Saccharomyces cerevisiae S288C: one gene and its partner. The protein of the gene in region 1 binds, or shares a complex with, the protein of each later gene. Each region holds a gene or a part of one and is shown on either strand. Other genes may lie near its edges. A codon is read from its position in the direction of its gene.

The links. Proteins that work in one complex are often made in the same cells at the same time.
Region 2: the proteins of VID30 (region 1) and GID8 are in contact, whole or in part, in a cryo-EM structure (PDB 7WUG), measured with the Saccharomyces cerevisiae proteins. Residues at the interface, in NP_011287.1 of Saccharomyces cerevisiae: Leu35 (codon at 1,560), Glu528 (codon at 81), Tyr529 (codon at 78), Ala530 (codon at 75), Lys531 (codon at 72), Ile557, His558, Leu559, Gly560, Lys603, Trp604, Ser606, Leu607, Tyr609, Glu610, His611, Ile612, Cys613, Arg614, Leu681, Gly682, Glu683, Asp684, Arg686, Phe687, Leu692, Val693, Arg694, Pro695, Val697; in NP_013854.1 of Saccharomyces cerevisiae: Phe27 (codon at 1,675), Thr28 (codon at 1,672), Tyr29 (codon at 1,669), Lys31 (codon at 1,663), Lys32 (codon at 1,660), Cys33 (codon at 1,657), Phe34 (codon at 1,654), Lys36 (codon at 1,648), Trp39 (codon at 1,639), Gln42 (codon at 1,630), Val43 (codon at 1,627), Tyr46 (codon at 1,618), Ser47 (codon at 1,615), Gly50 (codon at 1,606), Leu52 (codon at 1,600), Tyr53 (codon at 1,597), Pro84 (codon at 1,504), Glu86 (codon at 1,498), Thr88 (codon at 1,492), Leu89 (codon at 1,489), Pro90 (codon at 1,486), Leu92 (codon at 1,480), Leu93 (codon at 1,477), Tyr96 (codon at 1,468), Phe97 (codon at 1,465), Tyr102 (codon at 1,450), Glu103 (codon at 1,447), Asp104 (codon at 1,444), Ser105 (codon at 1,441), Arg108 (codon at 1,432).

What each region holds. Positions count from the first base shown.
Region 1 is NC_001139.9:67,580-71,332, reverse strand, and holds the start of VID30 (glucose-induced degradation complex subunit VID30), read right to left. Parts: upstream 1,663-3,753; coding exon 1-1,662. Other genes in the region: SHE10 (She10p), read right to left, coding at 2,002-3,735.
Region 2 is NC_001145.3:538,304-542,056, forward strand, and holds GID8 (glucose-induced degradation complex subunit GID8), read right to left. Parts: upstream 1,754-3,753; coding exon 386-1,753; downstream 1-385. Other genes in the region: ERG29 (Erg29p), read left to right, coding at 1-248; GAT2 (Gat2p), read left to right, coding at 2,896-3,753. UniProt on the Saccharomyces cerevisiae protein: Component of the GID E3 ligase complex recruiting N termini and catalyzing ubiquitination of proteins targeted for degradation.

The sequences.
Region 1 (3,753 bases):
CTTCGTGAAAAAAATTGAGCCATCGATAAAATTTATGCCACAACCAATAACGTCATCCCTACCAAAAGGCTTAGCATATTCCTTAGATTGTTCTGTAGAATTAGTTATCAAACCGTCAAATCCGCAATAGCCAAATACATTAAGATCAAATCCGTATTTCTGACACTTATTTATGGAACCATCCACGTTAAGAGACATGGCTGAAACGCCCCCTTCATAAATATAATCACGCCTTTGAGTACCTTCCATAGTGAAAGAAGTAGAAGGTACTCTATTGGAACTCATGTTATTACTACCACCTAAGCTACTACTAGAACCGGCCACGCTTGAACGAGAAACACTCTTTTTTGTAGTCGCTTCCATTAATTCATTCTCTACTAACTTGTATCCGATAACAATGTTACTATTTTCAGCACTCTCTGTACTCGTTACACTGAGAACTTTAATCTCGTAATAGAATATAGTTAACTTATTGTCTGGCAATGACTTATTTGCCCAAGTGACTGCAAAGTCCACTTTCCCAGAGTTCTCAAAAGAGGTTCTCAGTCTATTTCTGGTAGAGGCAGAAGAAGCGCTTGATCTTTCATAAGTCATGTATGAGTGATAATCAGGATTAGGTTGTAAATGAGTAATACCATCTTGAGATAGCTGCAAGCTGTTATTTGGTTGAGCTTGCCATCTAGAAGGTAAAAAGTACCCAAGTATTTTGTAAATATCAGGGATCATTGAGTTTTTCTTTTTGCTACCACTGTTGGACAAAACATTTGTTGCCTCATTGTCATTTTTGTCGTTACCAGACGATACTCTAGGAGAAGAAAAGGAAGAACTTGGAGACTGATCAGGGGGGTAGTATTGTAGACCACTGTTCTTGTCAGATGTATCCCACAAATTCCTTGATTCTGTTTCTATATTAATAGCTGATCTAGATCTTTGATATATCCATGGGTCCGCAACCCTTTCGGCACGCTGCTGTGCACTGGACACATCAGCATCAGCTCCTCTACTTCCTTCTTCTCCACCTTCCTCGTGATTGTCAGAGCCATCTCCTTCGTTGTTATCGTCCGTGTCAGTATCCACTTCCCCTTCTAAGCTTTCCAGATCGGATTCATCGTCGTCGTCGTCATCGTCATCGTCATCATCGTCATCATCATCATCGTCATCATCATCGTCATTTCTGTCATTTTCCAGGCTGGTATTAGAGTTAAGCGCCATTTCACGTTCGGATAAAACGGGTTCTAATAGTTCCTGAGCATTTTTCCTCATGTCTGAGGAAGCTTTCATAACTCGCACTGAATTTTTATTTGAATCTTTAACACCAAATCTCAAAGTAAAATCATTAACGTCTGGATAGAAATATTTATAGACTTGAATCAGGTAATCGTCGTTGACAGCTTCAAACGAAATTGTGCCTAGAACACCCAAATTCATCAATTTAGACCAGATTTCTTTCCTTGTTAAAGCAGTTAACTTTGTCCTGCCCATTCCAACGCCAGTGGGATTTTCATCAGCGTTGATTAAGTTAGTGTTCTTCAGTTTGTGAAAGAGTTTTCTATGTTGCAAATATAAAATCCATAAATCATAAGCCACAGGCTGTTGCAGCAAGTAGCTCGGGAACAAACAGTTAATGAATTCGCGGTCTACGTCATCCATATATTCAGACATTTCCTCTTAATTATGCTGAAATTCGACGCTTGGCTTTAACGTACTACTAATATTTCTGCTATAACAGTAACAGTTCTGGTCCAATCCTTTGGCTCTTTCTTTTGGTTGATCGATTCATCAGTTCCCTCCCCTGAAAGGCTCGCGCGTCCTGTAATCTAGCAAAAATAGGCAGGATACAAAATACAGTGGAGTGGTAATATTATATTCTTATATGGCTATATATGTTTATATATAAAGGTAAAGACAAACAATAAAGAACATACATATATATATAGATAGATATTGTGTGTGTGTGTGTGTGTGTGTGTGTGTGTGTGTATAGCAAGCGCATGAATTTCATCACAATGTCATGGTAATGGTTGTGGTGATGGTCGAAGTAGAGGTGTAGGATACGTCTTCTTCGTCTTCTTCTTCCTGTTGTCGTAATAGCTCCTGCTGCCTTTGGAACTCTTCTGCTGCAGCTTTTTCACGCTCTTTTCTTTCACGTTCCTTTCTTTCACGTTCCTGAAATTGCAGGTTGGCTTTCGATCTTAGAATATACAAAAACTCACCACTCTCTTGAGTGAACGATAATATCTTCTTTTGCACTTTTTGCCTAAACGCGTTAACACGGGATAAGTCAGCGGAATGGTGAGCCAGCTTGTCTCTAGATTCTATGATCTGTTTCTTGCCCTTCAAAAACTTCTTCCAGTTAACAGAAGACTTTGCTTTCTCTTCATCAAGCGTAGTGTCATCATCTGCACCCATGTGAGCGTTGATAACATCCACATAAGCCATTCTTTTGGACCATTCATTTACAATGATATCACCCCATTCTTCAAATACCTCGACGTTTTCCTCTCTAATTGCATTAACTTTTTTTTCAATTTCATCAGTGATTTCGCTCAAATCTTTCTCCATAGCATTTGTCAGTTCGTCTAACGTCGAGCGCGTCTCGTTGAAGTACTCACGAACTAACTCTCTCGTTATGTACTGAGAAATCTCAGTACTTCCAGATTTATCGAAGAAAATTTTCTTGCCAGTTTCACTATCAATGCCTTCCACACATTCAATATCGTTAATGGCTAGCGAAATCTTGGAGAAGAACTTCTTAGATTTATCATCTAAAGATTGAAACTTGGCTTTAAAATGGTTGGCCTCCTCAACCAATTTACCATTGATGTATTTGGAAACATCCTTTTCAAATAGCTGTATGACGTCTTGTGTTTTCTGCAATATAGTCTCACTCCACATGTCAAAATCCTCTTGCAACAGAGCCTGTTCATTGACATTGACGTCTGTGGAGCCTTCAACGTCTGTGGAAGCCTCATCGTCGTGCGCATGATTAGCAACAGCGCTAGCCTCTTCCTGGTCCAAAGTAATTGTTTCAACCACTGTTTGAGTACTTGTTGTAGTTAGCTCCTCTTCGTCAGACTCCATAGTACTTACGGTTAAAACCATGTCCTCCGAGGAAGGCTCACGTGTGACAGAACCATGAATGCCATGCGTGTCCTTATTCTTGAACTTTCCCATTAATTTTTCCTCTGTATTACCAACAATAAAGTCGTATTTGGATTTGATGCATCTTGAAGTGATAGTAAAGTAATAATGGCCTATATTTTTATACTTTAAAATTCTTTCCTTCAAATGAGAGCGAAACTCCGCAGTAAAGAATTTGTCTAAGTTAGGTTTCACAAAAGCATTGTATTTTGCGAAGAAAAATCGTCTAGTCTTGACCATTGGGGAGCGGACCAATTGGTAATACTTTCCACAGTTCCATTTCTTACATTGTGAATGGATGACCTTGAATGCAGGCTGTATAGCGACCTTGTTCACTTTTACTGTAGCGTCATCGATGACAGGTTTGACAGCCGTGTCATATTTACGCGCCACTATATCGAAACCGGGACTAACTTTATTTTTGTATAATTCACAATTTCTTGAAAAGTAGGTGTTCCAGACTCTTGGATTGGTATAATGGCAAAGCGTTTGCGTGCGTTCACACGATATGCTCCCACTATTGAATTCGCAACAGTACTGAAGCAACGATACCAACACCGTCAGAGTTGTGATTAACTTTATCAGCTTTCCCATTTCGTTACGCTGCGTTCT
Region 2 (3,753 bases), on another chromosome or scaffold:
GACCTGAGTTTGGTACTACCTTGCGTGTATTGAGGCTGAGACTTTACCACTACTTTAAAGATTGCGAAATATATCGCGATATAATTAAGAATGAGGGCGGTGAAGGGGCAAGAAAGTTTACGATTTCCAACGGTGTCAAAATTTACAATCATAAAGATGAACTACTGCCATTGAATATCGATGATGTTCAATTATGTTTCCTGAAGATTGATACGGGAAACACGATAAAATGCGAATTCATACTATGAAAGCTTCCAAAAAAAAAAAAGAAAAATCAATTGCTAAATGCATACATGCAGGTAGGCACACACACACACACACACACACACTCACTCACACATGCACACGCACACACACATATATAAATATATACGTACTATGTATGTCAGTTTTCGACCCTAGGAACCCCTATTTGGTTGTGATGAAGCTGATTTTCGCACCAACACCACAGTTTCATTATCTGCGTCAATCTTGGTTCATAGGGAAATTCGGAAGAGTAGTAATTATTGAATTCTAAACCTTTTTCCTTTCCATTTGAAGAGGAAAGCAATTCAGAAGTTTGATTCCAGTAATTTTTATTTTCTAAGTTATGAAAAGTTGTCGCCGCTGAACCTGTGCCAACATTTCCATCCCTTTGATTTAGCCAAACTGAATTAGCAGCAGCCGTGACCTCGTTGCTTGACATCTTTTCGTTGATAGGTTGGTCAGACGAAATGTGAGTTATTTTTGTACCATTTGAACCATTGACGAGATTGTTGTTATACACCGTGAAGTTCTGCGTAATTATTTTCTTGTCGGAATTTAACAAATCTGGAAATTTGGAATTATTATTGCTGATCTCAAATTGAATCCTTGGATGAATAAACTTCAGCAGCTTCTCATTAACCAGATCTGCTATCTTAGATCTTAGAGATATCGAGTACAGATTTTGTAACGATTTGGGCAGCTTAATGCTGCCGCTGTCCGCCGAATCTGACAAGGGGAAAAGCAGCAGAGTCATTGCTAATTCTAACTCTTGCATCTTTTTGACACTTGACGAAGCCTTTATTGCAAGTTTATTTTGAGAATACTGAATTAGATTGAGTATAAAGTCGTTGGAATCCTTGGTGATGTTCTCCTGTTGATGGTGACTTCTTATCATCTCGATCAAATTCAGTAACAGCAGTTTGAAGTGTAAATCTCCATCTATGTCAAACTGCTGCTGCTGCTGCTGCTGCTGCCTGTCAGTTCTACCCGTATAACTTCCCGTAGCATTGAAAGTCTCTTCCAGCACCTCCAGCCCGAAGATAGAGTTTATCTCCTCCATCGCCTCATTGATACGCCCCAGCTTAATAAGATGTTTGATATGGAAACGCTCCTTGATCTTGTACAAATCATTGAAAACCGCAATGTCTTTGTTGTTCCGTATAAATCCCAGCTCCTTGGCCATCCTAATGCTCGAGTCTTCATATGCCATAGAAACAAAGTAGTTCAACAGAAGCCGTGGCAGTGTGGGCTCTATGGGTGTGGTCTGTATGGTAGCAAATCCCTCGTCCTGCGAGCCGCCACTGCTGTTGGGCTGAATTTTCAGCGGATAATGTATTGTCTTATTTGCATATAGCTCGCCCATGGCAGAATACTTGGCCACCTGCTCCTTCCATTCTTCCTTCGTGAAGCACTTCTTTCCATACGTAAAGTCTTTCCCACCATTCTTGCCTTGGCCGCTGCAAGATCCGCTCTTCGTGGTCTCGTTACTAAGAGTAGATATAGTCATTTCTATTTGTTACCACACACAAATATATCTTCATCCGGCTGATATTTGTCTCTACTGCCCCTTTGCTTGCAATTTAATGACCAAATTACACATGTTAGCTTCAAGAAAAATGATGTACCATCAAAATGTCTCCTGCAACGAACCGGGGCACCGCGCCGGCAGAGTCAGGAAAGCGAGATCGACACTGATAGTGATAAACAGCAACACAATGGAGCGATTACCATTCACTCGGAACGGATCCGGACAACAGTCAAATAAACTCCGGGATCCCAAAAAGGGCCGTACACACAAACCCAAGCCGAGCGAAAAACACAAAAAAAATAAAACAGGGAAAAAAGGAGCGCAAGAGAAAACGCACAGGAGTAGGAGCAGCAGAAAGGGGAACTAATATGGTTTTTCCGTTTGCTTATTTTTATTTTTTTGTTGAGTCATGGGCACGTCACCGCACAACAGCCGCCGCAGGCCTGTACCGCTACGCGTCTATCACTGCGAAACATCGCTACTTCTGTCGCCGCGTCGACGCTGGTCCAGACCACAAAAGGATGCACGATCAGAAGCACTGTACCCTGCAGAGTTGGAGATAGTGTAACCGTGACTTCATTTTTCAAGCGTGGTTTCACATTCTTTTTGCACCGCCCTTATCTCAGATATAGTTTCGTTCGGTTGCTTTGCTTTCCCCAACTGAAGGTGCTGGATGGCGGTTTTTCCGGCTGCTGCGATTTTCCCTGCGCGGGGCCCGGCGCGGAATTGTGCAAAAGCTAAAACTCAACGGTTATTTTGAAATATAAGGTTATAAGCAAATTTCCTAAATTTGCTTAATTGTTAATGCAGTTGTTATTGCATTAAGACATTCGGCTATCGTTTCCTTTCTTCGTGTCGGCAATCTTGTATAAAAGTTATTTTTTGAGTTTCAGTTTCTTGTATATCTTGGTATATATTGAAGGAGGATTTTTTCTTTCCTGGTCCTTTTACTTCCTTGCGTCCCCTCATATTTCTTCTATTTCCGTTCACGGCGTTTTTTTATTTTCTCCATCTACTTTTAGTGATTTCCTTTGCTCTAATATTGTTTTCGTTCATAGTGAATTGTTTGTTTTCACTTTAATAAAGGGCTTTTACGACTTGTCTCAAAAAATTTCATCGAGATGCAAGCCCCCAATATCTACCCCTTCTCTCAAACACAGCCACAAGCACTGCCCGGGTTCACATACGGTCCTCCACAACTTGTTTTTGACCATTCTGCTCCGAGAGTAGATCCTTTGCATTCTACTGTAACTATAAATTCTCCATTACCCTTGCAGCATTATAATGGACCGAATGCCCATATAAACAGCGCAAACAACAACTACGCATACTACTATCATCATCCCAACAATAATGATAACAACAACCATAGTAACAACACTATAAAAAATAACAACATTAATTCTGTTCTTCCCGCCGTTAATATTCAAATATCCAACAACTCACATTATAGAAATACACACCAAATTCCTTCTGCTCCTCAGCGGCTGGTCAGCATCATACCGGATCCCCACATGCCGCCCAATATTTCTCACTTTCAGCTAAATAATATTCACCCTCAAATGCATGCTCCTGTTGCTACTGATATTCATTTCCAACAAGTACCAGTTTACAATAAAACCAATAATGGCATTGGTACTGATAACATTAATAACGATAAACCCGTAAACTCGAATCAGAATGAAGTGCTGGACAATATTGATGAACGTTCCTGTCATGAAATTAACAGGGTAGTTTCATTTTCTAAACATTTTGAAAACAACGAACTTACCACTACAGCAAATGATCTAAACATTCAATCTACTATGGATGAATTAGCTAAACTGAAATCTTTATCAAATTCTACCCATTTCAGGCAGAGTATTGCTACTCAGAATTTCCATTCTTTACAAAATCATATCACAACCATCGAAAACCGTCTGGCTTCTTTACTTACTGACAGACAACAAGAGCAGCAACAGTTGAAGCAGCAAGAGTCT